Linked DNA regions of Mus musculus. The main gene of each other region encodes a partner of the protein of the gene in region 5 in a complex. Links are inferred from orthologs where the notes say so. Each region holds a gene or a part of one and is shown on either strand. Other genes may lie near its edges. The genes, in order: Zmat2, Sf3b4, Prpf38a, Sf3b2, Sf3b3, Sf3a3 and Ik.

Evidence for each region.
Region 1: Sf3b3 (region 5) and Zmat2 share a complex: the UniProt entries of both Homo sapiens proteins name them as parts of the spliceosome B complex. The link is inferred for Mus musculus from reciprocal best matches to the Homo sapiens genes SF3B3 and ZMAT2.
Region 2: Sf3b3 (region 5) and Sf3b4 share a complex: the UniProt entries of both Homo sapiens proteins name them as parts of the SF3B subcomplex of the 17S U2 SnRNP complex. The link is inferred for Mus musculus from reciprocal best matches to the Homo sapiens genes SF3B3 and SF3B4.
Region 3: Sf3b3 (region 5) and Prpf38a share a complex: the UniProt entries of both Homo sapiens proteins name them as parts of the spliceosome B complex. The link is inferred for Mus musculus from reciprocal best matches to the Homo sapiens genes SF3B3 and PRPF38A.
Region 4: Sf3b3 (region 5) and Sf3b2 share a complex: the UniProt entries of both Homo sapiens proteins name them as parts of the SF3B subcomplex of the 17S U2 SnRNP complex. The link is inferred for Mus musculus from reciprocal best matches to the Homo sapiens genes SF3B3 and SF3B2.
Region 6: Sf3b3 (region 5) and Sf3a3 share a complex: the UniProt entries of both Homo sapiens proteins name them as parts of the 17S U2 SnRNP complex. The link is inferred for Mus musculus from reciprocal best matches to the Homo sapiens genes SF3B3 and SF3A3.
Region 7: Sf3b3 (region 5) and Ik share a complex: the UniProt entries of both Homo sapiens proteins name them as parts of the spliceosome B complex. The link is inferred for Mus musculus from reciprocal best matches to the Homo sapiens genes SF3B3 and IK.

What each region holds. Positions count from the first base shown.
Region 1 is NC_000084.6:36,796,626-36,800,379, reverse strand, and holds the end of Zmat2 (zinc finger matrin-type protein 2), read right to left. Parts: coding exon 3,736-3,754; intron 2,502-3,735; coding exon 2,358-2,501; 3' UTR 720-2,357; downstream 1-719. UniProt on the Homo sapiens protein: Involved in pre-mRNA splicing as a component of the spliceosome.
Region 2 is NC_000069.6:96,170,952-96,175,405, reverse strand, and holds the start of Sf3b4 (splicing factor 3B subunit 4), read right to left. Parts: upstream 2,901-4,454; 5' UTR 2,833-2,900; coding exon 2,799-2,832; intron 2,436-2,798; coding exon 2,307-2,435; intron 1,866-2,306; coding exon 1,323-1,865; intron 1,084-1,322; coding exon 877-1,083; intron 1-876. Other genes in the region: Mtmr11 (myotubularin-related protein 11), read right to left, coding at 4,174-4,320. UniProt on the Homo sapiens protein: Component of the 17S U2 SnRNP complex of the spliceosome, a large ribonucleoprotein complex that removes introns from transcribed pre-mRNAs.
Region 3 is NC_000070.6:108,569,078-108,573,093, forward strand, and holds part of Prpf38a (pre-mRNA-splicing factor 38A), read right to left. Parts: intron 3,815-4,016; coding exon 3,729-3,814; intron 1,190-3,728; coding exon 1,079-1,189; intron 1-1,078. UniProt on the Homo sapiens protein: Involved in pre-mRNA splicing as a component of the spliceosome.
Region 4 is NC_000085.6:5,292,598-5,297,110, forward strand, and holds the start of Sf3b2 (splicing factor 3B subunit 2), read right to left. Parts: upstream 2,859-4,513; 5' UTR 2,798-2,858; coding exon 2,665-2,797; intron 2,491-2,664; coding exon 2,444-2,490; intron 1,780-2,443; coding exon 1,702-1,779; intron 723-1,701; coding exon 483-722; intron 1-482. UniProt on the Homo sapiens protein: Component of the 17S U2 SnRNP complex of the spliceosome, a large ribonucleoprotein complex that removes introns from transcribed pre-mRNAs.
Region 5 is NC_000074.6:110,815,492-110,819,507, reverse strand, and holds part of Sf3b3 (splicing factor 3B subunit 3), read left to right. Parts: intron 1-1,789; coding exon 1,790-1,964; intron 1,965-3,147; coding exon 3,148-3,353; intron 3,354-3,448; coding exon 3,449-3,605; intron 3,606-4,016. UniProt on the Homo sapiens protein: Component of the 17S U2 SnRNP complex of the spliceosome, a large ribonucleoprotein complex that removes introns from transcribed pre-mRNAs.
Region 6 is NC_000070.6:124,721,139-124,725,154, forward strand, and holds part of Sf3a3 (splicing factor 3A subunit 3), read left to right. Parts: intron 1-885; coding exon 886-968; intron 969-1,739; coding exon 1,740-1,878; intron 1,879-2,532; coding exon 2,533-2,601; intron 2,602-3,620; coding exon 3,621-3,688; intron 3,689-3,936; coding exon 3,937-4,016. UniProt on the Homo sapiens protein: Component of the 17S U2 SnRNP complex of the spliceosome, a large ribonucleoprotein complex that removes introns from transcribed pre-mRNAs.
Region 7 is NC_000084.6:36,743,233-36,747,736, reverse strand, and holds the start of Ik (protein Red), read right to left. Parts: upstream 3,082-4,504; 5' UTR 2,965-3,081; coding exon 2,949-2,964; intron 2,127-2,948; coding exon 2,060-2,126; intron 390-2,059; coding exon 297-389; intron 1-296. Other genes in the region: Ndufa2 (NADH dehydrogenase [ubiquinone] 1 alpha subcomplex subunit 2), read left to right, coding at 3,217-3,317, 3,450-3,556. UniProt on the Homo sapiens protein: Involved in pre-mRNA splicing as a component of the spliceosome. Auxiliary spliceosomal protein that regulates selection of alternative splice sites in a small set of target pre-mRNA species. Required for normal mitotic cell cycle progression.

The DNA.
Region 1 (3,754 bases), on a different chromosome or scaffold from region 5:
TTCCAGAGATTCCTGAGTTATACAGGATTGTTCTGTTCTAAATCCCCCACCCCACCCTGTCTTCACCTCTCAATCCACCATCTTAACACCATAACCCCCATAGAACCTAGCCAGGTCATTCCATTTACCACTCCCCCAGAGTTTACAGAACCTGGAACACACGATTATAATGGAAATGGCAGATGATCTCACCGCACTAGAGAAAACACTAATTAGCCATTACTGAGGTGAATGGGTGACTTCCCAAGGTGTGAATATTGTTAGAATCTCCCTTCACTGAGACCTTGCCCTACCTGCCTTGAAAATATAAAATGATCCACTCCACAAGGGTAATCTCTCTAGGATTTGTAACTAATCCTGCCAAGGAAAGCATTCAAGAATTGCAATTGGCCTGCAACTGTGAGGTTTGATAGAAGGTCTTATTATACAGACCAGACTGGCTGTGATCTTACAGCCATCCTGCTTCTGCTTCCCAAGTGCTGGGGTTACAGCTGTGCACCACCATGCTCAACACTGTATTTAAATTCCCAAGCCAGGAGTTGAGCCAACATATGGAGTATTTATGCAACAATCCCAGTGGCCAAATCCCAAGAGAACTCATTAAGCGAAAAGCTGACTTAATCAGTAATGGATGGAGTGCACACTTTGCGGGGTCCAGTGCTTCAGATGCTACACAGGTGAGGAACTACATGGATCAAAGAAAAGTCACTGTGGCAGTCTTGTGAGTGGACCCCTTTATTGAGAGTGTAGAGCCAGCAAAGGGAGCTTCATCTGTTTACAAGACTTGTATAACTGTCACCTGTGCCCTCATCCCCATCTCGCCCTTGAATTCCTTAGACAAGGCACAGTACGTGATCTAGCTCTCAATGTTTGGGAGGGATTTGTTTTTAACTAATCTCTGTCATAGAGTTCACAAGTTACACTACAGTGGATAAGAGTTTTAGTCATTTTCAATGGGAGAGCCATTTACCTACTCCCAGGGGACAAAGATATTTGTAGCTGTCACAAACTGGATGGGACTGCTACTGCTGACATCTACTAGGTGACGACGCTGCTCAACATACTATAGAGCCCCTTAAAAAAAAAAAAAAAAAAAAAAAAAAAAGACCTGTCCTGAAATGGAGGCACACACATTTAATCTCAGCACTGGAGAAGCTGAGGCAGGCAGATATCTGAGTTCAAGACCAGTCAAGTGGGACCCTGTCACAAAAACCCCAATTCCAAAACTTACCTAGCTCATCATCAACAGTGCCAAGCCTGAATAACCCAGTGCCCGCCCAACTGCAGACAGGCAAGTTTAACCCTGAGCTCTTCTAGGAAGATCAGAGGGTACTAAAATTACAGGGGACTAAAATGTTTTGTTTGGACTCCCAAGGGCACAGATCCTATTAGCAGAGGGGAAAACTCGCACTAAGGAAACCTGTATGTAAGGGGGTGGGAAGAGGAAGATATTCTTGATGTAAGAACATGTGGGGCAGGGAATGATACAGACTTGTCACCAAACAATGTGAAACAGGCCTTGTCACTGTCATTTACTGCACATGTTGAACAGTGTCTGAGAACCGGGGTCTCCCAGAGTGAGAGCTTTTGTTTGGTTTTAGGGCTGTTTTGTTGCTTTTTTGCATAAAACAGGTTCTTCCAAGAACCTGTTCCCGAGGAAGACAAAACAGAGATCCTCAGTGAAGTGAAACAGAAGAAACGAGGTTAAAAACTCACCAGACACTCATCCCATTTAATATCCTGTTACATGCACTGAGGAAACCAAGAACATTAGGTCTCAGGGCATCAATGCTCTGAGATTCTAGCTCAGGTCCCCTCTTTGTGACATATCATGCACACATACCCACACACACATTGACCCAGGCAGAAATCACATGCATGCACAAGTGGGTAGAGAACCGCGGGGTGGAATGGGAGGAAGAGCTGGGTCAAGGGTATACCAGTACCCGCAGACTGGAGACTCAGAACCCTTCTGTTGCAAGCTGAACAAGAGTAAAAATTAAAACAATAGCAGGACACAGGAAAAGGGAGGATGTTCAGACAACAGGTTTGATAGATGAAGAGGGAAAGATGCAGGGGGATATGGGGAAAGCAGTCTCAAAGAGGGAGGTCCTTCTTTATTGGGAACACAGATGGGCAGAGGTTCTGTGACTCCAGTAATGTACTGAGGCTGAAGGAATAAACCACAGTACCTCCCCCAACGTAGAGGGAAACCACAAACACCCACCCTCGAGCCCTGCCCATTAACACTCTTAAGAACCTTCTCCAGTACCCAAAAAAGAAATGACGCCCCCACCCCACCTCAACACACACTCATTAGGTCCAGTATAGGCCAAAGTTAGGCCAAAGAGAACGCTTCAGTAACTCTTCTTGGTGGAACCAAAGCCAGAGAAACCCATCACAGCTGCCATTTCATCATCCTCCTCAAAAGTCAAGTCCTCCTCGGCTCTCCTTTTCTTCTCCTTCTGTTTCTCTTTTTTGTATGCTTTAGCCTTTTCCTCCTGAAGGATAAGGAAGAAAAAAATCACTCAGAATCAGTTGGCTCCAGAGCTGCTGCTGCTGAAAGAGAAATGTAAGCTTCAGGATTCTTTTCCGTCTTTCAGCATGACTAAAATCCACAGTAAAGACTGAGAGGTCAGTGATAAAGCACTGCCCAGCATGCATGAGGGCTTGAGACAGACTCTAAATGGCAGTGAAGGAAGACTGTAAGACAAGATTTAAGAGATAAAAAGAGATTTACTAAGTCTCTGGAGTTTTTAATCATACACCCTAGTTCATCTCTAGTTCTTTTTGTTTTGTTTTGTTTTTTTGTTTTTGTTTGTTTTTTTTTTCCCGAGTCATGGTTTCTCTGTATAGTCCTGGCTGTCCTGAAGCTCACTTTGTAGACCAGTCCGGCCTCGAACTCAGAAATCCGCTTGTCTTTGCCTCCCAAGTACTGAGATTAAAGGTGTGTGCCACCACCTCCCGGCACTCATCTCTAGTTCTAACCAGACAACATCCTGGGACATGAAGCATATGCTAAGATCTGTTCTCAGTTTTGTGTAAATATTAAGCTCTAAGATCTTCAGCACAGGGAATGAGGCTCACTAAGGTTATTTAACTTGCCCAAAATCCATACAAATAAATGGAAGAGAATAATTCTGACCCTGTAACTCAGATACATAGGCCAACTAGGAAATAGTTGTATTTAGTTAATCCCTCTTATAGTTTAAAAAAGTTTAGGGAAAGCTATGTGTGCAAGCATGGGAACAGGATGGCAATGGGAGGCTTTGAACTTTCTTCTCTTGGATATGAACCCATAATTAGTCTAAAACAAACCTGTCTTTAAAAAAAAAACAACAAAATCGCCAGGCGTGGTGGCACATGCCTTTAATCCCAGCACTCGGGAGGCAGAGGCAGGCAGATTTCTGAGTTCGAGACCAGCCTGGTCTACAAAGTGAGTTCCAGGACAGCCAGGGCTACACAGAAAAACCCTGTCTCAAAAAAAAAAAAAAAAAAAAAAAATCAATGAATGAATAATTGCCCCCCCTCCCCACCCCAAGAGATCTAATCTAAAAAGCCAAAGAAAACTGGATAGGCTTTGAGCTGTTTCTCATGGATCTCGAACAAAGATGCCCTAGTACAAAGAAACCCAGGAACAAAACTGGAGCTAGGAGAGTGAGCGGAGGAAGAGGGCCACCCTCGGTCCACAAGGAAAACACTCCAAGCTGGGGAGCAGGGTTAGCAGAGCCTCACCTCTTCTCTGAGCTCCTTC
Region 2 (4,454 bases), on a different chromosome or scaffold from region 5:
AGGCAGGTGGATTTCTGAGTTCAAGGTCAAAAGAGAATTCCAGGACAGCCAGGGCTACACAGAGAAACCCTGTCTCAAAAAACAAAAAAACAAAAAAAAAACAAAAGAAGAAGAAAATGTCTGTGAATACCCTGGAAAAGTTACTCAGTGAAAGTAGATGAGTCCCTGAGTCAGTGACAGGAAGTGAGTGCAGTCTGAGCACTGGCTTGTGACCAATGACAAAAACATAAGCTAGACTTGCTCTGCAAAGTGGAGGACAGAACAGACAAAGCCCCAGAGTTGTAAACTGGGCTCCTACAAGTGAGAACTACTGAAGATGGTGTCAGAAAGAGGAAAGTTAAGTGTGGGTTGAGCAGTGGCCTTTTCTAGCCTGCCAAGAACCTAAGACCAGAGACCAATGGTAAATTAGCACCTTCACATTTAACACTACAGAGAAACAAAGAAAAGAGAAACAAGCAAAAAATCTACACAAACATAAAAAAAGGAGCCGATCCAGGTTGCTATGGTTGACATTAGAGAAATCTAGAAACACGCACGCCTTTAGTCCCAGCACTTGGGAGGCAGAGGCAAGAGGATCTCTGAGTTTGACACTGCCAGCTACACAGAGAACCCGTTTCTCAAAAAGCCAAAAGCAGAAATGTCTTCTAGATTTGGCAACCTTGGAAGCAGAGGAGAGGTTGAGAGTTTTGCCCAGTACAAGCTATCCTTTAGGAAATACAAGAACTGGAGATAAAACAGGAGCACCAACACGTACAAAGTACTGTCTGTTTCTGAAGAAAAGGAGGACTCTGGACTATTTTCATCCAAGACTACCAGGACAGACAGTAAGAAAGCCCCTCTCACAAGCTCAGCTCCTTCCCAGCACAGAGCCCTTACCTGGATGGGGCATCCCACCTGGTGGGAACGGGTGAGGATGTGAGTGTCCGTGACCGGGATGTCCAGCCCCTGGAGTCCCTGCTGCTGGGGGGCCATGTCCTCCAGCCCCAGGTGGCATAGGTGGTGGGGGCATGGCTGGGGGAATCCCAGGAGGGAGGGCCCCAGGAGGTGGCACTGGAGGTGGAAAAGAGCCAGGAGGCGGCATGCCTGTGTAAGAAATGGAAGACAGTTAATGTCTTGCAGAGCTCCAGCCTCCCCCCTGCAGGCTTCCCTTCAGCTTCACTCCATCTGCCAACTTCATCCGCCAACTTCATCCCTTCCACCAGCACGCCTCACTCCTGTCTCACTGCCCAACAACTTAGCAGCTTACTCTACCAGGGCTGCTTCTGCCTCCTGAGCCTCCCTCCCAAGAGCCTCACTGGCACAGTCTGAACTCCAAGCTGTACCTGGTGGAGGAAGCCCAGAACCCAGGGATGAAACCACGGGATTGGGGGCAGAGGGCGGAGGGGGTGCATCGGCAAACAGCTGGTGAGGGCGGTCAGCCTGGGACAGCGGGTTCTGGGCTGCCAGGAGTCTTTCAGCTGCTGAGCCATGGCGTTCACCCTTAGAGTCCTTCTTGAAGGCATAAGACACAGTGATAGGACGGTTACACAGGTACTGCCCGTTCATGGCCTCAATTGCTGCATCCGAAGCATCGAAGGAGGCAAAATTAATGAAGGCGTAACCCTTGGAGTTGCCTGTGTCAGGGTCCCGCATGATCTTGGGGGTCTGTAGGATGACTCCAAAGGCGCTGAAAGTATCGTAAAGCAGCTTTTCATCAATTTCTGGGTCCAGATTTCCAATGAAAATGTTGGCTCCCACATCCAGGTTTTTGTTGTGAGCTGAGGCCTTGTTCACCCGTATTGGCTTTCCATAGAGTTTGATCATGTTCATAATCTTAATGGCATAGTCGGCATCTTCCTCGCTCAGGAATTCAACAAAGCCATAGCCTGGGGAATCAATGAAAAAAACAAAACAAAACAAAAAACAAACAAACAAAAAAAACCCATCATTCAGGGGAAGAGACTCAAAATGAAACATTAACTCCCCAGCCTTCAAACACAAAGAACATAATAGATAATAGCTGGGCGACTGCACGTGCACGTGCTTTTAATGCCACCACTTCGTAGCAGAGGCAGGTGGAGCTCAAAGATCGTGACCAGCCTGGTCTACAGAGCAAGATCTAGGACAGCCAGGACTACACAGAGAATGGTTGAGAATGGTTCCAGAAACTAGAGCTAAGAGAAAATATTCCAGAAACTGGGAATTGAAGCTGAAGGAGAAAGCAATCTTTAGGTTGCTCATTCCAAAGGCGCTGTGCCTAGCGGCTGAGCCTCTTCGGGGCCGGTTAACCCTCTCCAGGGCTGATTCCTGCCCCGTACCCTACTCACCCTGGTGCTGGCCAGTGACTCTGTCCTTGGGCATGTGGGTGTTGACCACTGGCCCTGCCTGGAGAAAGAGCTCCCACAGCAGCGGCTCACTCACTTTCTCGTCCAGACCGCCCACGTACACCGTGGCATCTAAAGGGAAGAAGCAGGCGATGAGGAGTCGGCAGTGAAAAAGAAGACAAAAACCAAAAACCGTCGCCTAAAGCCCTGAAATTCCCTCTGCCACCATCATCTAGAAAATCTGCTACGTCTAATTTGGCATTCTTGCTGGTCCGGTACTCCCGGGAGGCTTTTGTCTTCTTGGTGGAGGGAGCTGATCTAGAAGCATCGCTTCTCACAGGCCTCGGCCTGCACCCGGCCTCGCGGCCAGCCAGGTGCCCAGAGGTCGGTGTCCCACCGGGGGGGATCTCGTCTACCACCCCAGGGGGAACGCTTCCGGCACTAATCTTCCCTCCACTTCCCTGCTCCTATCTTGGGCTCTTCTCTCCCAATTACCCTGATTCCGTTCGGAGATCGGTCCGGCAGCCATGGCGAAGGGGCTCCCGCCGTCTCTAAGCAGCAGCACCGCCCCCTGACCTCAGTTACAACTTCCACTTCCGGGCCAAGGCTCACGTTGGGCGGGGCCGGCGCCGGGGGGGGGGGGAGGAGCCGGAAGCGATCGCGGCCATCTTAGGGGTCGGAGTCTTGTCTTTCGGAAGGGAAAGGCGCTCTAGGGCTGCTGCTGTAGTCGGGGCGGAACGGATGTGCTCAGCCCGTCTCGACACAGTTAACTAAAGCCCCGGATGCTTCCAGACTGTTAGAGGCTCACACGGCTCCCCAAACGCACATTCAAGTGCAAAACCAGGCTTTGTACGTTCTGTGACGCAGAGTTGTGTCCTAAGTGCAGGGCCAGGACTGCCTTCTGGAGCGACCTATTATTTAGTGAGGTCCACGACGCTCGTGCAGACTCGCCCTCGGCCTAGACTTGAGCCTGAGGTATTTTGTTTTCCCCTAAGTGTCAAATCTCCGCTTATCTTGGGAAATCTGGGACACGAAACCGGGTTGGGTTGCGGGCTGGTATCGAAGCTTTAAGGAGCAGACATGGATCTCTTGAGTTAAAGGCCAGCCAGGTCTACAGAACGAGTTCCAGGACAGCCATGGCCACACAGAAAACCTGTCTCAAAAAACAGAGTTCCAGCTGGCCTAATAGACACATAGAGACCATGTCTCAAAAAAGGTGTGCGGACCCCTTCCCCCATATTTTATGTGTATTTCTTCCAGGCCACGCCTGACTTGGATCCTTTATTTCCTTACAATAATTTGGGTGTTTTTCTCAGTTCACACCCTCCCCTCCACCCCCACGGCTTTGCTGAGATCTTCATTCAACACAAGAAAATACCAGCAATGTGTAGAAATACTGTGCTTTAATGAACTCCTTAAATAGAAACGCTGCTATGAAAATATACAGTGGGAGGAGACGGTTTCTCCCTTATTCACCTCGTTCCCACAGAAGACTAAGAAAAGATTTCAAAGTAGTGTAGAGAGGTTGCGAATGAGGTCTCTAGGACATCATTGTTGGGACTGATGAAAAGGGTCTCTCATGTCACAGTTTTGACGGCCATCCAAAAGGTACAGAATTGCCTGGGAAAAGGGGCAATCACATTCTGAACTGGTCTTGTTTCTTAGTTTTCAAATCACAAGAAATGAAAATAGCCCCAGAAATCAAACAAATCGGGAGACCTTTAGGTTGGTAGCGCCACCATCTGCTACAGAAACGGGCCTTCTAAGTGAACTCTGCAGACTGGAATGCCAAAGCTGAGGCGTCAAGGTCAGACAGGAAGATGAGCAGAGACCCCTGCCCTGCCTCTGAGAACGACGCTAACAAACAGTTTCAGCAGATCTGAGAGAGGATGGTATTCGGATCTCTTTTCTTGCTCTGGTCCTCGGGAGATATTCTTGGTGTCCATTGTCTTAACAGTTCCTGAAGGTGAGAAAGCTCATCCTGAAGGGCAGAGACTGTGAGAGCTGAGGAGCCCATCTGGGGAGGGGCAAAGCGCACAGAGGAAGACTGTTACAGGGCTTGCTTCCTGGTTCCTTTTTTTTCCCCCTTTTCTGTTTTTTGTTTTGTTTGTTTTGTTTTTCCAGTTGGGTTTCTCTGTGTAGCCCTGTCTG
Region 3 (4,016 bases), on a different chromosome or scaffold from region 5:
TAGTAAAAATGTCAAACACATAAGTGGAGGAAAATGAGGATAAAAAAATAATACCGCAAGGGACAGGAACAGAAAATTCCATGTTGAGGAAAAATAATTAGATTACTGTTTTATCAATATAAAACCCAATTTGAGGTTAATTTTTTAGTTTTAGAGATAAGGTCTCACTGTGCAACTCTAGCTGGTCTCAAACTCACAGAGCTGTTTCTGTCTCTCTAGAGGGTTCAAATTAAAGGCATGTGTCACCACGCCAAGCATTTCTTATATGTCCTTCTGGTTCTTGCAGTGTTTCTTAGAATGTAATTGCAAATGCTTTAGAGCAGTTACTAGAAGCACTCCCACATTTCCATCATTTTAATGGCTGCTTAAAAATCATTTCAACAATCGACCTGACTCCTTACATCCTGACTGCTGAGGTGGGTTGTTTTCCACTTTTCAGCACTATAATTATTAATTCTGACAAAATATGACTATGTAGCAGGTAACTTCTCCCCTTAAGAGTATGTTCAAGCATGTTTTGTCCAAGTTTTTTGATAGCTACCATTCATTTACCAATTATGTGGGAATATACCTTCATGAACACAAAACAGTCTTCAGAGAAAAGTACTGTACTCCTCCTTGCTTTACAGAAGACAAGCAATCTAACGCAGCAGTAGAGACTGAGTGTACCTCAGGGATAGAATATGCATTCAGCATAAGTGACACTGTGGATGCAATCAATCCCTAACTCAAAGGGAGAAAAATCAGGACAATTAAGACTATACCACTACTATGACAGAGAAGAGGTATTCAAGCCAAAGGGGTATTTGACACCAAAGCTCCTAATTTTAGTAAGAATACAGCATTCTTATTTTTTAGGCACAGGCCTGTGATCCTACTATTCCTGAGGCAGAACTGAAATGTCTTGCTAGTCTTATCCACACACTAGAGCTCTCCCTGTCCAAAAGGAACCCAAAAGTAATTAATCCACAAAGAATGTAAAAAGGAAAGGTTATCATTAATTTACAAACTAAAGCTTACAAAATAAGGGCTATTCCTTCCTTCCTTCCCAGCCTTACCACTTTCATACATGCCTTACCTTCTCATCTTCCTCCTCCTCTTCCTCACTAGACTCCACATCATCCATGTCCTCTTCTAGGGCACTAACTCGAGGCTCCAGTTGCTCAGCTTCTTCCAGCACATACCGTTTCTACAGGGACCACAACGTCAACAGTCATTGCCATTTCTTCCATAGCCTGATCCTAACAGAGTTTCTGGGGTTGACAGAAAAGCCTTGGAACCACAGCTCTGGTATGATATTAATATACAGTGGAATCCATATGCCTCCCCTTTTAAAAAAGATTTATTCACACAATATGTACTCACTGATAAGTGGATATTAACCCAGAAACTTAGGATACCCAAGATATAAGATACAATTTGCTAAACGCATGAAACTCAAGAACAAAGACCAAAGTGTGGACACTTTGCCCCTTCTTAGAATTGGGAACAAAACACCCATGGAAGGAGTTACAGAGACAAAGTTTGGAGCTGTGACAAAAGGATGGACCATCTAGAGACTGCCAGATCCAGGGATCCATCCCATAATCAGCCTCCAAACGCTGACACCATTGCATACACTAACAAGATTTTGCTGAAAGGACCCAGATATAGCTGTCTCTTGTGAGACTATGCTGGGGCCTGCCAAACACAGAAGTGGATGCTCACAGTCAGCTATTGGATGGATCACAGGGCCCCCAATAGAGGAGCTAGAGAAAGTACCCAAGGAGTTAAAGGGGTCTGCAACCCTATAGGTGGAACAACATTATGAACTAACCAGTACCCCGGAGCTCTTTACTCTAGATGCATATGTATCAAAAGATGGCCTAGTCAGCCATCACTGGGAAGAGAGGCCCATTGGACTTGCAAACTTTATATGCCCCAGTACAGGGGAACGCCAGGGCCAAAAAGTGGGAGTGGGTGGGTAGGGGAGTGGGGGGGAGGGTATGGGGGGACTTTTGGGATAGCATTGGAAATGTAAATGAGGAAAATACCTAAAAAAAAAAAAAAGAGTAATTCTAAAAAAAAAAAAGATTTATTTATTTACTATATGTAAGTACATCATAGCTGTCTTCAGACATTCCAGAAGAGGGTGTCTGATCTCATTATAGATGGTTGTGAGCCACCATGTGGTTGCTGGGATTTGAACTCAGAACCATCCAAAGAGCAGTAGGTGCTCTTAACCGTCGAGTCATCTCTCCAGCCCCTCCATATGCTTTTTAAAGGTCCCCTACAAACATAAACAGATTGCTGAAGGGAACAAGTTCATTTTCAATTGTTTCTATTTCCTGTGGTCTTATACTGTAAGGTCAATACATTGTCAATCAATTTGTGTGTCATCAAAAATGTTACCTTCAGGGCTGAAGAGATGATTCAGCTATTAAGAGAACTTGCTGCACTTGGAAAGGACCTGAGTTCAGCTCGAGTACCCACATGGTGGCTCACTAGTTCCAAAGGATCCAATGCCCTCTTCTGGCATTCTCTGGTAGAAGGTGAAAATTGATTGTCCTCTGGCCCCTATATGCCCTGGCACATTCACACACCCCCAGCATTAATAATGATTAATTAAAATAACATGAAAAGTAAATGTTTTAATTTTATAAAGGCAAATTTGCTCATTTGTGTGTGTGACACAAATACATGAGTCTGCAAATACACATGCCAGCTTACCCATGCCAGAATAGGGCCACAGTGTCTTCTGTTGCTTCCCAGTTTAGTTCAGTGAGAGACAAGTCTTTACCTGAGCAGGAAGCTTGCCATTTTGGCTATACTATCTGGCCAGCAAGTTCTAAACATCTGTCTGTTTCTGCCTGCCAAGCTTGGGTTATAGGTACTTAGCAGCCATGCTTTTTACATGGGTGCTTGGGGACTTGAACTCAGGTCCTTATGTTTACAGATCAAGCACTCTTAACCACTGAACCATTTCGCTAACACTGGGCGGTTTTTGTTTGTTTTGTTTTTGTTGTTGTTTGTAGGGTTCTTTGGTGGTGAGGCTTATTTGTTTTTTGAGATGGTCTCACCATGAAGGCTTAGTTGTCCTAGAGCTAGAGCAGGTTTCCAAGTGCTGGGACTAAAGTCCAGCACCACAATTATTATGCCTGGCACAATAAACTTTCGGTAAGGTTGTTTAGTTCTTTCAATATTTTACAATTTTATCTGTGAAGCACATATGCCAGAGTGTACATGTGGATGCTAGGTTAGCTGATCTGTAAGCTTTTGGCATTATCCTCCGTCTTCCTTCTGTGTGGGTTCTAAGGATATGAACTCAGAGTGTCAGGCTTGTACAGCAAGTGTTTTACCCACTAAGCCATTTTCTCAGGCCTAAAGGTTCTCCTTTTTTTTGTTGCTTCATGAATAGTTATCACTTTGGGTGTGAAGGAAGATGATAAACAAGACACAAGACGTTTAAAGGATTGAGTGTTTTCTTTCTCATTCTGAGTGATCTTTCTTCTGTTTCTTAGCCTAGCTTACCAATTTGAAAAAACAATACTCCAGGTATATTTGGGATAAGACATCCTTTCCTCTATTCATTTTCAAAGCCTACCCATGAAACATTACCTGCTTTTATCTCATTCCCTACCCTTTGTAAATTTTGGTATAAGGACTTATTAAGACAACTCTTAAAGCTTCAGTGTTTCAGTAGGTATTTGTGTTTATGTGAGAAGTAAAAGGTGACCTTTGTCTCATACCTGTAGCCGGGGCAAAATGATATCACAGACTCTCTCACTGTGCAGGAGTTCATAAATGAACTCATCTACATGCATCAGCACAAACTCTGGAAGAGAAAAATGACTAGATTAAGCAACCTGCAAATGACTTAGTTACGCAAAGAGTAAAAGAATCATGAAAGTTTATGTGAAGCTCCCTACGTGCCACACCTTTCCTTCCTTCCTTTCTTTTGGAGACAAGAACTGAAAGTAGGGCCTTGTGCTTGCTAGTGCTTCATCACTATGTTAAATCCCCAACCTTACCTTACC
Region 4 (4,513 bases), on a different chromosome or scaffold from region 5:
TCTTTTTTAATGACAACCCTCCAAAGTTTGAAAAAAAAATCATTTTTAGTTTATAGGCCATCCACAAGCAGGGCACACATAGTGTGCTAACTCCTGGACTACAGAAAAGATGGAAGCACTAGAACCTATTTGGTTATCAGGTAGCCTCCAAGGCAAATTTGAATGAAGCATCTTGGTTTGGACATTAAATAATGTTAAATGGCATCCTCTGGATAGAGCAAGATGTCAAGTCAGAGAGAAAAACATCACCGTCTTCCAGTACCCCAAGAGTTCATGTTGCTTCAGTGAATCTCACACTAGCAGCAATAGGGCCCAGGCCAATCTGCCAAAATACTGGCTTCCTGGGAGTCTAACTATACCTACGTTCTAGTCTTCAACCAAGACCTTCCTAAAAGGCTTGGCCTCAGGGTCTAGCTTTCTCAGGCTCCATTTCCCCGTCAGGGACCTAATGTGTCCCAGGTACAGGTTTCCACCTGTCCTACCTGCTTGGCACGCTCCTCTTGCTGCATCAGCAAAGCTGCCTGCTGCTGTGCCAGCTTCAGCCGTTCTTCTTCTGACAGCGCCACAGGCTCACCCACTCGAAGAGGTGGTGGGGGCCCCAGATTTGGTGGGTGAGCCATAGGAAAGCCAAGGCCAAGGCCTGGTGGAGGTGGTGGAGGTGGTGGAGGAGGCTGTAGAGGGGGAAGTCCCATAGGTGGTGGTGGCATAGGAATCCCAGACAGCTATGGGGAAAAAAATACAGCTATGAATTAGAAAGCATTTATTCAATTTATAAGCATTTGCTAGAGACCTAGCAAAAGAGCCAGATACTAGAATTTGAAGTCTAATGACGTAGGATTCAAGAAAATACACCATAAAAGAATCAAAAGATGCTAACTTTAGCACACTGATCAAAGCTATTAGCTTCTCTGAAAAAATATGAGGAACATTCATATTACATTTTGCATTCAATTTAAGGAGGTACAAGGACACCTCTAAAATCCATACAGGAACTTCACAAAACACACATACACAAACACACCAATAAACTCCAGGTCAAAGCCACAACTTTAGAGGAAGAGAAACAAATACTAGAATCAGAAAGGACTTAAAGAAATAGGAACTAGGGCTGGATAGATGGCCAAGCAGTTAAGAGCTGCTCTTCTATAATATCAGGGCTCAATTCCCAGCACCCCGATGGAAGCTCACAGTTCTGTAACTCCAGCCCCAGAATGACCCAACGCCCTTCAATGGCCTCCTAAAACACTGCATGCACGTGACGCACAGGTAGAAACTTGGACAAAATACAAATTCAGACAAAACACTTATATACATAAAAATAAGTTAAAAAAAAAGTAATAACCAACATTCCAAGGCATAGGATATCTACGTTGTACTAGATGCAGGGAGTATATTATTCAAGTCAGGGCATTATCCTTTACCGTTTCAATAACTTTGGGAGCTATACCTGGCAGGAGAAAGCATGACCACTTCCAGCTGAGAAAGGATCAAGGAACATTTCCAGATATTCTAGTGGAATCTTGAGTGATAAGTCAAATTTGGAGGAGTAGACATTGGGGATTAAAACAGTAGCAGCACTAAATCAGAAGTGAAGAGGTCACAATTTTGTCTCCTTAGACCTCACCCTTAACTTACGGTCCCATCTGCTAGCTCAACACATGGCTATCCTGAGCAGAAAAGATCCTCGAAGCAATCTCTTACCTGTGCTGACATAGGAGGAGGAGCCGCTTTGTCCCCATCTTCTCCTCTCAAAACTGGTCGATTCAGGACAATGCCCGTCTACAAGAAAAAAGAGAGCTCTAGGTCAGACTACAAGGACGTATTCCATTACATAACCTCCTCTTCCATTTATTTACTTAACAAAATGTACCCAGTGCCCACTTGACAGAGACTGGGGCTGGAACCTGAGAAAAGCAACAGGAGTAGAAGTAATTACAATAAAGCAAAACCAAGAACTGACAAAATGGTCAAGAGCCGGCTTGCTGCGTTGAAGTACACAAAAAAGACCTAGCCCGGTGTGCTGGAGCACTCGGAAGGCAAACGCATTAGGATCTCTTAAGTTTGAGGCCAGCCAGGGCTACACTGAGAAACCCTATCGCGAAAGAACAAACAAAAAAAGTATATGAAACGAAGATCCAGCCGCGGAGTGGTGGCGCACGCCTTTAATCCCAGCATTTGGGAGAGGCAGGCGAATTTCTGAGTTCCAGGCCAGCCTGGTCTACAGAGTGAGTCCAGGACAGCCAGGGCTATACAGAGAAACCCTGTCTCAAAAAAAAAAAAAAAAACCAAAAAAAAAAAAAAAAAGAAAAGAAAAAGAAAAAAGAAAGAAGAGAAGAGAAGAGAAGAGAAGAGAAGAGAAGAGAAGAGAAACGAAGATCCATCCGTGAGTAGTCTTAAAGGCCTCCAGGAAAAGTGAGACCTAGCCTGCACTGACAACACTCACCTGACGGGTGTAGGTCTGCAGCCGCTCTACTAACTCCTCGCGACTCCCTATAGGACGAAGCACAGAATCAGGGGGTCAGCATCACCTCGAGCAGGCCAATTTGGCGAGGTCAGGTCCCACAGGCCTGTCTCCGCCCCCCGCCCCGTGGGTCTCCTGGGTAACCAAGCTCCACTTCGCCACAAGCCCACGCAGGGCCCCTCTCGACCGCCTCTGCGCCTCACCCTGGATCGGCGCTCCTATCTCTGCCAATCTGGCCTGAAGCTCCTGCGCAGCCCAGGCTCCATAGTGGCCTGGAGGTGGAGGCGGTGGCAACTGCAACTCTCCTTTGGGAGGTTCGGGATGCTCCGCCGCCATCTTAGCCACAAGAAGGCGCGAGACCAACACGGAAGCTCGGGTCAGCCGCCGGGCCTACTTCCAGAAACTTCCGGTTGCGTAATCCACGTCCCGCGGTGATTGGAGAGAACTTGGTCCAAACACACGCCCTTTCCCTTACCGGGGAATAGGAATCGCCGCCAACGGAGGTTGCAGAGCCTTCTGGGAGTTGTAGTTTGCGGATGCGCCATCTAGAGGACGAACGCTCGCTATGACATCCGGTATGCAGCAGTAGTAATACATCCGCTGCCTGGCTGCAAGAGCTTACTCTACCCAGAGCAGATGCATTCTTCTTCTCTCCTGGCCAAACACATACTAAGTCTTCTGTCCCGACACCCTTCAATGATGAGAGACCTGGGTGCTTATTTCTCCTAGGAGCTCATAGAGATTCCTTTCCGGCGCCCGAATGGGAGGTTGGTGCCGATGGCTCTGATAAAACAGTGTTTGTCTGCTCACTCCCGCCCAGGCGTGCTTGAATGGGCTGAAAGGGGATCGGAGCCGGTGGAGGAACGGACCGCCAAGCTGAGTTCCAGCTGCTGACCTGGGGGAAGGGCACTGCTAAAATAAAATCCCCTTTTGCACCTTCGAAAAAGTCTTAAATAAATGTATTCTCTGTCAAATGCTTCCTTCCCCCTTTCGAGGAATGTTCATTAATACATTTTCCACCTTTCAGGTGTTTTATTATATGTATATGTACCGCTTGCATGCCTGGTATCTGTAGAAGCCAGAAGTGTCAGATCTGGAACTGGAGTTACACTTTTGTGAATCGAACCCAGGTCCTCTGCAAAAGCAACAGTGCTCTTAACACCAATTCTCAAGCCCCAAGGTTTTTGTTGTTTAAGACAAATGTGTCCATATGTGGCCCAGGCTACCCTAGAACTTCTGATCCTTTGCAGGCTACAGATATATACTATCACACCCGATTTCATGGAGTGGAAGATCAAGAGTCATGTAGTTCAGACTGTCTTGGGACAAAATCGAGCCCAAGCCAACCTCTAGCTCTTGGCAATCCTCCTGCCTCTGCTTCTTGAAAACTGGGCTTACTGCTGCCAGCTAATCCATTGTCTTTGTTTCATTTTTAAGTCTTTCCTGTCCTTTATTCCCACCTCCATTCCCCCAAACAGGATCTGGAACTTGATCTTCTTCTATCTTGAAGTATTTAGCATCCAGGAGGCAGCTAATAAATGAGTTGGGAGGTGGGGGTATCTAACCTGGGGACTTTATATTCTTGTAGGAAAAACAAAAAAACCTCAGGACCTTTCTTGGGGCAAGACACCATGACCCTTGCCTGCCCAACATCCACCAATTTATTTTATCTCCTTCCCTCTCCTAGTTCTGCCGCTCTCAATGACAGCCTGTTTGGTTTGTGTGTGATGAATAAAGGAGAGGAACACAAATGGTCTCATTTCCCACCCACGCGCTTCAGATCTTTTCCTAGCCACCTCCGTTTCACCAGCTGTCCTCAAGGGAGGAGTAATTGGAAAGGAGGGGTGAGCAGGATGCAGGAAAGGTGGGGTCTGAGACAGACAGATAGAGTACAGCTGGTAAAAGCGGTTCTTGTTCCCTTCACCTATACCCAAATGGTGACTCTTCCCCATTGGGTTCTCATCACTACCCTACACTGGGATTGCAGACGGAACCAAAGCCGGAAAGGACAGAACTAAAGAATGAGCGGCGGTGGCTTTTCCTTGTGCTTGC
Region 5 (4,016 bases):
AAGAACTGTTTGTTATAAATGGGGATTTCTTAAACCTCAAGTCTCCATTCATAAGAGTTACCATGGACAGAAGTAGACAAGAGAGAAAGTAGGAAAAATCTGTGTCCAATCCAGTAGAGTCAAATACAGCTTCTGGGCTGAAGTCTTATTCTTCTGGGACCAGGAACAAAGTGGTTGATCTCAGGGTTCCTCTGGAACTTAAGGGAGCAGGGTCCTATTAGGGTTGATAGGTGGGAAGGGAAGTTATCTCAGGTAGAGGAGTAAAGGGTTTGAGATGGGATAGGAGAATCATTCCATAGGAGGGAGTGGAGGTGACAAGGTTAGGGGGTGGTAAGGAGGAGATCAGGGAGATGCAAGGGTTTGGATGAAGACTGGGCCAGGGGGATATCAAAACTTGTCATCCATGTGTGAGCTCATAAAAGTAAGATGGAAAGGAGGTTGGTTGAAGAGAATACACACAACTCATGGTGACAATGGAAATATGTCGCAGTTAGTGGCCACTGTAGCTTATTGAAGTTGTAGTTACTGAACTGTAGATACTAAAATATAAAGGTGGAATTGGGCATTTCCAACATGTTCAAATGTGCCTTCATCAATTGTATCCCAGGGCTGGAGAGATGGCTAAGCCGTTAAGAACACTGGCTGCTTGCTCTTCTAAAGGACCTAAGTTCAGTTTCCAGCAACCACAAGGTGGCTCACAGCCAATCTGTTATGGGATCTGATTCCATCTTCTGGTGTGTCTGAAGAGAACAAGAGTGCACTACTCAGTTACATAAAATAAATAAATAAGTTGGGCTGTGGTGGCGCATGCCTTGATCCCAGCACTTGGGAAGCAGAGGCAGGTGGATTTCTGAGTTCGAGGTCAACCTGGTCTACAAAGTGAGTTCCAGGACAGCCAGGGATACACAGAGAAACCCTGTCTCGGGGGGAAAAAAAGTAAATAAGTCTTTTTTTAAAAATGCACTCCTAGAATAGAGTCGTGTGAGAATTCTGAGTGCTTGTGGAAAAAACTCTAAGGGTCTGACCTCAGTTTCTTCTTGGAGTTTATTGTGTTCCTTCCAGGTGTAGCAGATAGGAGTGAGCTGAGCAGTCATTGTTAACTCATGTGCTTCTTTGAAACAACATGGTTTTTGCTGTTTGTGTTGTCCTTGGAATTGAATACCTTACTCGTGTGACTCTTCTTAACCTTCAGGGTATAAATTGTCTGATGTTCTGAATAAAGTTGGCTGTCACATGAGAGTTTGTCCTCGTTTTTAGACCCCATTCTCCCAGGTTCACAAAGCCAACTGGAGAGATAAACAGTCGACTATTTTTTGGGGCAGGATCTCTCACTGAAAGTAGTTTGCAAACTAGCAAAACTGACTGCTATCAAACCCCAGAGAACCTCCTGTCTCTTTTTCCTTAGCATAGGGATTACGGGGTACTGCTGTGCCCTGCCTTTTAAGTGGGTTTTAGGGTTCATAATTCAGGTCATCATGGTTCCATACAAATACTTTACCAACTGAACCTTCTCCGTGTCCCCTGAACGTCATGTTATTACATTAACTATGCAATAGTAAGGGTTTGACAATGTCAGTGCAAGGTTCTAGTTCAGTGTGTTTCAGTGGTGAAAACACAATTGCAGGGTATGTGTTGCTGAAGGGGAAATCTGCGTGTATCTCCTTGTCGTGTACGGTGGTCGTTTAATCGTACACAGTTGTTATCGTGTTGCCTTAGGGCATAAGCAGCTTCATTTCATCAGCTGAGCTGAGTGAGCCAACACCTTTAACTCTCTTGCCTATTACCATAGGATTTTGGCTTTAGAGAAGCTTGGTGCTGTCTTCAATCAAGTAGCCTTCCCATTGCAGTACACACCCAGGAAGTTTGTCATCCACCCTGAGAGTAACAACCTTATCATCATTGAGACGGATCACAATGCCTACACTGAGGCCACAAAAGCTCAGAGAAAGCAGCAGATGGCTGAGGTAATTACTCTGACCTCCAGAGGGGCAATTTCAAAACGCCTGCCTGTGAAGTTGTTTAGAAAAGTTTAAATTTAGAAACCACCTCTAATTCTCTTCTCCATGTCACATACACACTGCTTTGGAGATAGGGTCTCAGACCATAACCCTGGCTTGCCAGGAACTCTTAATGATCCTGCTATTCCCAGCTTTCCAAGGGCTGGAATTCTATGTGCACTGTCACATATAGCTGTAGTCTTTGCTTTTTGTTTTTTGAGACATTTTGCTATCCACCATGTAGACAACACTGGCCTTGAATTTACAAGGATTTGCCTGTAGCCCCTGAGGTGCTGGGGATAAAGCTGTACACTACTACACTTGGCTATCTTTTTACTTTTTAAAAAACCAGGGCTTGTGGTGTGTAGCACAGTGGTAGGCTTCGTGTCTAGCATGTGCAGAGCTCTAGGTTAGATTCCTAGGACTGAAAAACAAGGGTAAAGTGGGTTTGACCCTAAAACTATAAACCAGCCCCCCCTTTCTAGGACCTTTAAACAAAGTTTTTTGTCCTGTTTCTATTTCTCCCTTTTACAAGCTTTTTTTGTGACCTGGGACAAATATGCTGACCTTGGTTACTCGGAATTCAGTTCCCTGTGTAGAACTGTTTTCTGGTCCTTGAGCCTCCACAGTAGGGTGTGTTACATGACGCCTGGATTCAAGCCCTGACACACAGCTTTCAGATTTCCCCTCAGCACCAGCTCATCCAAAAATTATTTGCCAGCAAAAACCAACTAGCACCAAGCATGCAGAAACCATAGGAAGCCTGGAGATACTATGTGAATCAACCAGGTTTTCATTTCTGAGTTTTTAGACATGAAAATATTTGTCACGGTTAATGTTCTGTTTGGCTTTTTTTTTTTCTCAGATATAACTACTAGTATTTCTTTTTCCTTTTAATGATCTCTTTATTTTGCGTTTCTCCCTTGAATCTTTTTCCCCCCTTTTAAATTGTGTATCTAAGTGTTTTAGTGCAGACCTGCTGCACCATTTGTTGAAGCTAAATACCTGTCAGGTCACAAGTGCCTCTACCAGTGGGGCTGTTTGAAGGCCCTTCCTTTCGAATCTCTGTTTGAGGGAACCGTGGTGCTAGGCAACAGTCTTCTTTGCTCCTTCACATCTCATCTCATCTGTTCTTGCTTTTTGGGTTTAGGAAATGGTAGAAGCAGCAGGGGAGGATGAGCGGGAGTTGGCTGCAGAAATGGCAGCAGCATTCCTCAATGAAAACCTCCCAGAATCCATTTTTGGAGCTCCCAAGGCTGGCAATGGGCAGTGGGCCTCTGTGATTCGGGTGATGAACCCTATCCAGGGGAATACACTAGACCTTGTCCAGTTGGAGCAAAACGAGGCAGCCTTTAGGTAAGGACCTGAGGGCAGTCGGGAGTTTGGTGGTGTGAGCAGGGTTCTTGGGGTTTTAACTAATGCCTGACTTTGCCTTCTTGGTCTATTTTTAGTGTGGCAGTGTGTAGGTTCTCCAACACTGGTGAAGATTGGTATGTGCTGGTGGGTGTTGCCAAGGACTTGATACTGAGCCCTCGATCTGTGGCAGGGGGCTTTGTGTATACGTACAAGCTTGTGAACAACGGGGAGAAGTTGGAGTTTCTGCACAAGGTGAGAACAAACCTTCAATTCTCTTGGATCTTAGATCTTACTGAATTCTCCCATTTTTGCCCTAAGCTTCTGGGTCAAGTTTTTTATTTGTTGTGTGTGTGTGTGTGTGTGTGTGTGTGTGTGTGTGTGTGTGTGTGTGTGTTTTGAGGCAGAGTCTCACTTTGTAGTCTTGGCTATGTACCTTGCTATATAGATCAGGCTGGCCTTGAGCTCAAAGATGATCTTACCTCTCTGCCTTCGGAATGCTGGGATTACACCACCATGCTGGGCTGGTCTTTTACAGACGAGCTGTTGACTCTGACTCATCTTTGTGTAGCATTTGGAACATACTAGGACCTTCATGCTTCAGTGATGTTCCTGTGCCTGCCACAGGAAGCTGTGTTCTCACCGCTTTCAGTGTTAAGAGGCACA
Region 6 (4,016 bases), on a different chromosome or scaffold from region 5:
TTCTGCACCTCCATATATGGCTCAGAGATGCCCAATAAGTGGTTATGTAGATTAACACAGCCATCTTTCTTTTTTTTTTAGATTTATTTATTTATTTATTATATGTAAGTGCACTGTAGCTGTCTTCAGACACTCCAGAAGAGGGAGTCAGATCTCGTTACAGATGGTTGTGAGCCACCATGTGGTTGCTTGGATTTGAACTCTGGACCTTCGGAAAAGCAGTCGGGTGCTCTTACCCACTGAGCCATCTCACCAGCCCCACAGCCATCTTTCAAGACCTTATTTTAGAATGGCAAAAATTATTCCCACTGCCCCACCGTGTGTTGCGGCGCCAGCACAAGCCACGCTTCACCACCAAGAGGCCCAACACCTTCTTCTAGACATAGAGACCCACTGAATAAAAACTTGAGACTGTCAAAAAAAAAAAAAAAAGAATGGCAAAAATCTTTAGGCAGGATCCTGGCCCACCCTGAATATCCAGCCCAGGTTTTACTAGGGCTAATGTTTGTTAACTTGATCTTGTAGAGTTGGTTTCATGTTGGGCAATCTTGTACTCCCTTCAGTAGAATCAGCCTCCGGGATTGTAAGGCAGGCAGGAAAGCCCTAATGTGAGCCAAGCCTCGATACTTGGTCAGAAAACGCTCGATTTGGACCTTGATTTAAAAACAAAAGTGTGTGTGCGGTGGCCTTCAAATATGGGGGTCACGGAATAACTTGAGGGAGTTAGTCCTCTCCTTCCACAGTGTGGGTCTCTGAAATAGAACTCAGATCTTTTTGCTTGGCGGCAAGCACCTTCATCCCCTGAGCCATCTCTGCAGCCTTGTGTGATGTTTTGAAGGTGAGCTGACTTAGCACCTGATTCTGTCATTTGTTTCCTCTTTTCAGAAGCTGGATTACATCACATACCTGTCCATCTTTGACCAGTTGTTTGACATTCCTAAAGAAAGAAAGAATGCAGAGTACAAAAGGTAGGCACTTACAGGTTCCAGGCCGTTTCCAGATTTAGGTAGGATTTCATGGAAAGGGTTGGGTCAGAGTTGTGGCTTTTGTTGTCTGAATACTGGACATGAATGACTTTTGGGTTTATCAGAAGGTAAGGATACTGAGTGTTATGTTTTAGAAATATTTGTGATGCTGTCATGGTGGTGCAAGCCTTTAACCTTAGCATTCCCAAGAGGAAAAGGGCAGGTGGGTCACTGAATTCAGCTGGTCTGCATAGTGAGTTCCAAGCCAGTCAGGGATGCGCAGTGAGAGCCTGCTCAAAAGATAAACGTGTGGGACGTTCTGGTTATGGACAGAGCTATTATGGAAACATCTGTGGTCTTAACACACACCTTCCTTAATTTTGTGTGATTTAGAAAGAAGTCTGTTTGGGGACCTCTGAGGTCTTGTAGTTTAATGGGGAAAGTGTCCAAGCTAAGTGATGTGCTTGGATCAGGTATTAAGCAGAAAGTACTGTAGACTTGGCCACACTTCTCATTAATGTTCCCCAAGCCATAGGCCTTCAGTTCTAAGCCTGCAAGTACAAATGAGCAGGCACACACACGAGACACACACACACACTTTCTGTCTGTCTGTCTGTCTGTCTGCCTGCCTGCCTCTCTCTCTCTCATATGCTATGAGTTTTACTTTATCAACTATTATTAGAAATTAAGTATGGTTTGCAGGGCATAGCAGGATGTCACAGGTAGAATTGCTTCCTTGCTATAATGGCTTCCTTGTTGCATGGTTCTCTGCAGATACCTGGAGATGCTGCTGGAGTACCTACAGGATTACACAGATAGAGTGAAGCCCCTTCAGGATCAGAACGAGCTCTTTGGGAAGATTCAGACCGACTTTGAGAAGAAGTGGGATAATGGCACCTTTCCTGGATGGCCGGTGAGCTCCAGTGGGGTTCATGCCAAGGAAGCGAACTAATTATTTTATTCTTGAGTCTCTGCTTCAAGACGTTGGATGTCAGTCCCTCAGTATCAGCTCCATCCTGAGGCCGGCATTCTTTGTACACTTGGAACAAGATTTGTCAGGACCCACTAGACATTGTCTGGGCCCTGGGTTTTTAACAAACATACCCAGATTGCTCTGTGACTCCTGACCAAAATCTGATCAGTTTGTATGATTAGAATCTATGTTTGTTTTTAAGAATTGTTTGTTTATTTTATTTATGTGAGTACACTGTAGCTGTCTTCAGACATACCAGAAGAGGACATCAGATCCCATTTCATAAGGTTGAGAGCTACCATGTGGTTGCTGGGATTTGAACTCAGGACTTCTGGAAGAGCAGTCAGTGCTCCTAACCACTGACCCATCTCTTCAGCCCAAATTTGTGTATTTTTACTTCTTTTGATAAACTTGAGCTTTCAGGAAGAAAACTAGCTGTCTGATACTTTTTTTTTCTTCACTTCTGTATGAATTGATCATTATTTGTAAATGTGTTTAAAGAAAGGGACCAGATAGTCCTGGGAAGTTAGATAGCTCCATTACCTTCAGTCTTCTCATTAGCCTGGATCGTAATAAACTTCCTCTACCTGCCAGAAAGAGACAAGCAGCGCCCTGACTCACGCGGGAGCCCATCTTGATCTCTCCGCATTCTCCTCCTGGGAGGTATGTTCTATGACACTACATGACACTGCTCTTACTTGGCTGGCTGTCTTTCTGACAGTGGTGGTGGCAATAAATGTATTGTGTAGGAGTAGGTATATGTCTCTGAGCGTGCATGTGTCTCTGCGTGTGCCACAGCATGCATGTATCACAGCGTGCATGTGTCTCTGCGTGTGCCACAGCATGCATGTATCACAGCGTGCATGTGTCTCTGCGTGTGCCACAGCGTGCATGTATCACAGCGTGCATGTGTCTCTGCGTGTGCCACAGCGTGCATGTATCACAGCGTGCATGTGTCTCTGCGTGTGCCACAGCGTGCATGTATCACAGCGTGCATGTGTCTCTGCGTGTGCCACAGCGTGCATGTGTAGATGATGAGTTGTGGGAGCTGATTCTCTCCTCTACCACTGAGTCTTGGGGCTCAAACTCCGGTCACCCCTTCCTTGACTGTGGGCATTTTTTTTCCTTGTTGAGATATCTCACTAGCCCTGGCCATCCTTCAGAGGGACTGCTTGCTCTCCTGTATTCAGTGTCTTAGACTTGTCACAATACCACTTCTGAGGGCAGGCATGTACAAGGGATATGAAAAGATCAGAAGGGAAAAACCTTTTAACATCTCGGAAAACTAGATTTCAGAGACCTGTGAGATGATGTCATAGAAAGTCAGAGGGGAGCTGAGGCAGGAACATTGCTGTGAATTTGAGGCTGGCTTTAGAGTAAGATCTGTCTCCAAACACAAAGTCAGTAATTCCAAAACGAGGAGCTAGAGACAAGAGTTCAGTTGGTGGAGGGTTTGTCCAGCGTGTGTGAGGTTCTGGGTTCAGTTCCCATCTCTGCAAAAAATACTGCTATGAATGGTCTTCCTACAGAGAGCCACTAAACACTGCCTTCCCAGTACGACTGAGCCTAGACGTGGCAGTAGTCAGTCTTTGGGAACTGAAAGCTAGGGTTGACTGTAGAATGTAGTCTTACCTGGGGAGAAAGCTGATCATGTTGTGTTGTAACTGATTTCTCTTTTCTAGGAGTTGGCATCCCTGGGTCTGGATAGGTTGAAATCTGCACTATTGGCATTGGGCCTGAAGTGTGGCGGGTAAGAACCTGGTTTTGCTATCAAAAATCCTAGTGACTGTATGTTTGGATGATCATCTAAGTGGCTCTGATTTTGTTGTTTGATTGCCCCAAACTGTCAAAATCATTTTGTGCAGTGCATGCTGGTGAATGCCTTTAACCCCAGCACTGAGAGAACAGGCAAGTCTGTGAGTCAGAGACCAGCCTGGTCTACAATAGTGAGTGTCTTTTAAAAAGAAAAAAGATAACCTGTATCCCTTACCACCTCAGGACCCTAGAAGAACGAGCTCAGAGGCTCTTCAGCACCAAAGGAAAGTCTTTGGAGTCACTCGACACTTCTCTGTTTGCCA
Region 7 (4,504 bases), on a different chromosome or scaffold from region 5:
AAAGTATCATAAATATTTAATTGACATTAACATTAGACACCAATCAAAAAAACCCGTTGTAGACTATACAGTAATAATAACAGGCCCAGAAATCTGTCCATTTGTACAAGCAATGACTCTATTACTAATACTCATGAAGGAATAATAAGAACCCAGAGCATCCCAGTCATCACTGAAACTTCAGTCTTTATAGAAAAAAAATCGGAAGCAGAGGCTTTAAAAGAGCTCTGGCTTTTGAGAGTCCACCAAACTCCGGTTCCACAGAAATGGACAGACATGAATAAAAGAAGACTTACTCATGGTGACGTGACTTAGAAGGTGGCGCAGAAGTAGGTGCAGCTCTTGGGGTCATAAGAAGTTTCCTGAAGTCTTCATTGGTAAGTTTTGATCTGTAAGAAATTGCAAAAAAATTAAAATTAGTAGCCAATAGGAAAGAAGCCTGTAAAATACATGGATTAACTTTACTGAAACAACAGAAATGCCAATTTCAACACATTACTGTTAACTGCTGAAAGTTCTTGCTTTTGTTTTGTTTTGTTTTGTTTTGTTTTTTAAGACAGGGTTTCTCTGCATAGTCCTGGCCATCCTAGAACTTAACTATAAAGATTAAGCTGTCCTCAATCTCAGAGATCCGCCTGCCTCTGCCTCCCAGATACTGGGATTAAAAGTATGTGCCACCACCTCCCACTCAGAAGTTTCACTGAATCAAATGTGAGTGAAACTTTGGAGCACGCTACTCTCATATAGTTTTAGGAATGCTGTGATTGGGGAGGTGGGGGTGGGGCTTAATCCTTTTCTAAAACAAGGCACACAACAAAGGGGAAGGTTTAGTCAAGAATGAGACTTGGTCACTGTGGCACATATAGTGACAAAAGATAAAAACAATGAGGCAGGAGGATCGCTAATCTGAAGCAAGCCTGGACTATACCTTAAAGGGTAAGGCTATAAGGCCCTAGACTCAATCCTCACAGCATTACCAGAGGGCGGGGATGGGGGGCGGAGAGACAGAGAGAAAGAGAGAGCGATTCTTAGGTTGGAGTGTAGGAGTACATGCATATAATCCCAGCACTTGAGAGGCTGAGACAGGAGGATGATCAGATTAAATCCTTTCTCAAAGAAATAAATAACAATTTTAAAAGAAACAAGGTATAGTAGTTCTGTATGAGCCTGCAACCTCCGCACTTGGGAGACTCGAGGGAGGAGGATGACAAAGTGGCCTCTATCTCCAAAAGAGAGGGCTGGGGAGAGAGCTAAGTGGGAAAAGTGCTTGTTGTACAAGCCTAACAGTCCAAGTTCAGGTCTCCAGATCTGAGGGAAGAGCTGGGCACAGCAGTACAAGTGTCTGTAATCCGAGCACCACCCTTCTCAGGAGATGGGAAGCAGAAACAGGAGAATCATCAGAAGCTGCAGGCCTACCAACCTGGCTGCCAGCAGCGAACAAAAGAAACCCTATCTCATAGCAAGGTGGAAGATGGAGCCCTAACCCCAAGGTTATCCTCTCATCTCCAGATGTGCACCTACCCACACACTCAAAGTAATAATAAATATAAATGGGATTGAAATTGTGAAGTTACAAAAGATAATTTCACTCTCATTTCCAATGTTTAATTTTTACCAGGGAAAATTCCTAAATATGTAATAAAGCAACACAAACACTAGACTCTTCCTGGCCATAACTTTTCTTGTAATAATTCACTGAAAAGTCACAGAAATAAAGATTAATGCTCCAAATTTTTTCCTTTTCTTTTCTTTTCTTTTTTTTTTTTTTGTCCATAATTACAACCTTACTGAAAAACTGACACCAAAACAATCATTTTATATAACTTAAGAATTTAAGTATAATTACACCATCTTGTTAAGGTAAATGAACTCATGACATAGCTCTCTGTGGAAAAAATAAGTTTAGCATGTTGTAGAGGTTAGCATTTTCCTTTCAATAAACCATCTTCTATGAACTGCTGGAGCATTTTTGCCAACAAAATACTCTGAATTCTTTCGCCCTCTCTACTATCTCTCTTGCTCATTGCTAAACCCATTCCTCCAAAGACAAAACACTCACTGGTGGAAGGAATGAGGATCATCCACATCGTGGCCATCTGGAGCCAAAGGGTTAGAGAAGGGCTCACCTTAAAGGGGGAAAAAATGACATTAAATCAATCACTCGTTTAATGTGTGAAGTTCCGTACAAGAACTAGCGATTATAAAAATGAGCAACATAGTAGGCAAGAAGAGGAGCAGTGATTATGCAGTAATGCTGAACTGGGAGGACTACAAGAAACTCTATTACCAGAAACTGGGAATGGTGACCCAAACCTATAATCCCAGCACCAGGGAGATTGAAGCAGCAAGGCCGTCGAGATTTCGAGGCCAGTTTGTGCTACACATTCAGATTATCTCAAAAGGAAACGAGCAAAAGAGCTGTTTGTGGCGGCAGGCACCTGTCAACCCAGCACTTGACTAGTGGAGACAGAAAGACCCCTGCGTTCTAGATCCTAGCTCACTCGTAAAAAATAAATAAAAAGTTATAAAACCGGGTTTCCTTAAACGAGGAATCAACAACCTTCCTCCCCCTCCGGCCCCAACCCCAAAAGATCGCTTCTAAAGCACTACGCACTACGCAACTATATGGGACTTTGAGGTTTGCCTCAGAGCGTTAGCGAGCCCCTCCCCTCCCGCGTCAAATAAATAAACCACGTCCCTAAAAGAGAGGCACAAGCCATGGTTTACTAAGGAAGGGATAGGGAGGTAGAGCTGCCTCAAAAAATTCAAAACGCCGGTCCTCCACAAAAGAAATGAAACTTGAGGGCAGCTCAGCTGGGCCTCTCCTAAGGACCAATGGTTCGCGCGGCTCCATCAGTCACACGACACCTTGCTTAAATTCAGCAAACTCGACGAGCCTAGCGTCTCTAGTCCCGCGGGCAGGAAAGAGTGGTCGACTCGAGCCTTACTATCTCGTTCTGGCATTTTGGCAGCGGCCTCTCAACGTCCGCAATCGCGAAATGTCCCCCTAACAAGACAGCGGCGACAAACTTTTATCCACAATGCACCACGAAAACCTGTCTTCCTTCGCGTCACCACACGATGCCTCCTGTCATTGGCTAAGATTTATCCCGCCCCTTTCCCTGCGTCATCCAATCGACGGCGAAGACTGGAGGGCCCGCTATTGGTCCGATTGAGGGTGAAAGGTCGTGATTGGGCGCTCCTTTGCTAACAAAGATGGCGGCTGCCGCTGCTAGCCGAGCGGTCGGCGCAAAGCTGGGGTTGCGTGAGATTCGCGTTCACTTATGCCAGCGTTCCCCAGGCAGCCAGGGTGTGAGGTGAGGCGGAAGCGTGGGAAGGCGAGTGAGCTTCGGAAGCTGGAGCTATGACCTTGACCTCCGGGCAGGGGCGGGGGCTGTGTACCTTTGCCCGCTAGCGGCAGTCTCTCTCTTCCCCCCCCCCCCCCGCAGGGATTTCATCGTGCAACGGTACGTGGAGCTGAAGAAGGCGCACCCCAACCTGCCCATTCTGATCCGCGAATGCTCGGAGGTGCAGCCCAAGCTTTGGGCCCGCTATGGTGAGTACTGGTCGCCGGAGGTCAGGGGCCCGGGTTGCAGAATACGGGATGGAGAGATGAAGGGGCCTCCCAACGTCCTGGGGAAACGGGGCTGAAGGACCAAAACTCGTACTGATAAAGGAATTCACATTTACTTAGTTGTGTGATGCTTTTTATTCATGGCAACATATATATATATATATATATATATATATATATATATATATATGGTCTAACTGGGTCTTAGGCTAGATTCAGGAAATTTTTGCAGTTCAGAGTGTACTTTATGTAAAAGACTTGCTTCTCCATGTCAGCGTAGGCCATTCAGAATCAATTCTTAGCCAGTACAAATTCAGGGACTGAGAATTTTAGCAGCGTTGAGCACTTTATGCTTACAGCTTACGCTGGGTACTTTAACTCATTCTCATTAGTCTCTATTGATGTTGTGAATGGGTGCTTTTCTTTTGTAAATATTAAAAAGCTGAGTCTAAACACTATGGAAAGCGCCTAAAGTTACGCAGCTCAAATAGAATAGGATTGAGCTTTTGCACTTTGTGCCCCTTCCTTATAGCATACTATGGTTGGCTCCCATCATTCAGGTTGTTACTTGCCCCTAACTGCCTATTACTGTCTCAAAGAGGCATTCCTGAGCCAGCCTGTAAATCCCAGCTTTAGATACTCTTAAGCAGAAGCAGGCGAACCACAAACTCAAGGCCTGTCCGAGGCTATAGTGTGCTCAATGCCTGAGTAGGAAATTTAGTGAAACGTTATCTCAAAATTCCAAAGATACAAAGAAAATGGTAATTGCCTTTCTTGTGAGAGGCACTGGGTTTGATCATCAGTACCAAACTGAGGCATTCCCTGACCAGTTATAACATTGCCTCCTAAATTACACTAGTCCTAGTTATACCCAAAATCTGAAATTTTGTTAATATGCTGACTAACAGTAAATAGGTAATACTTTAACTA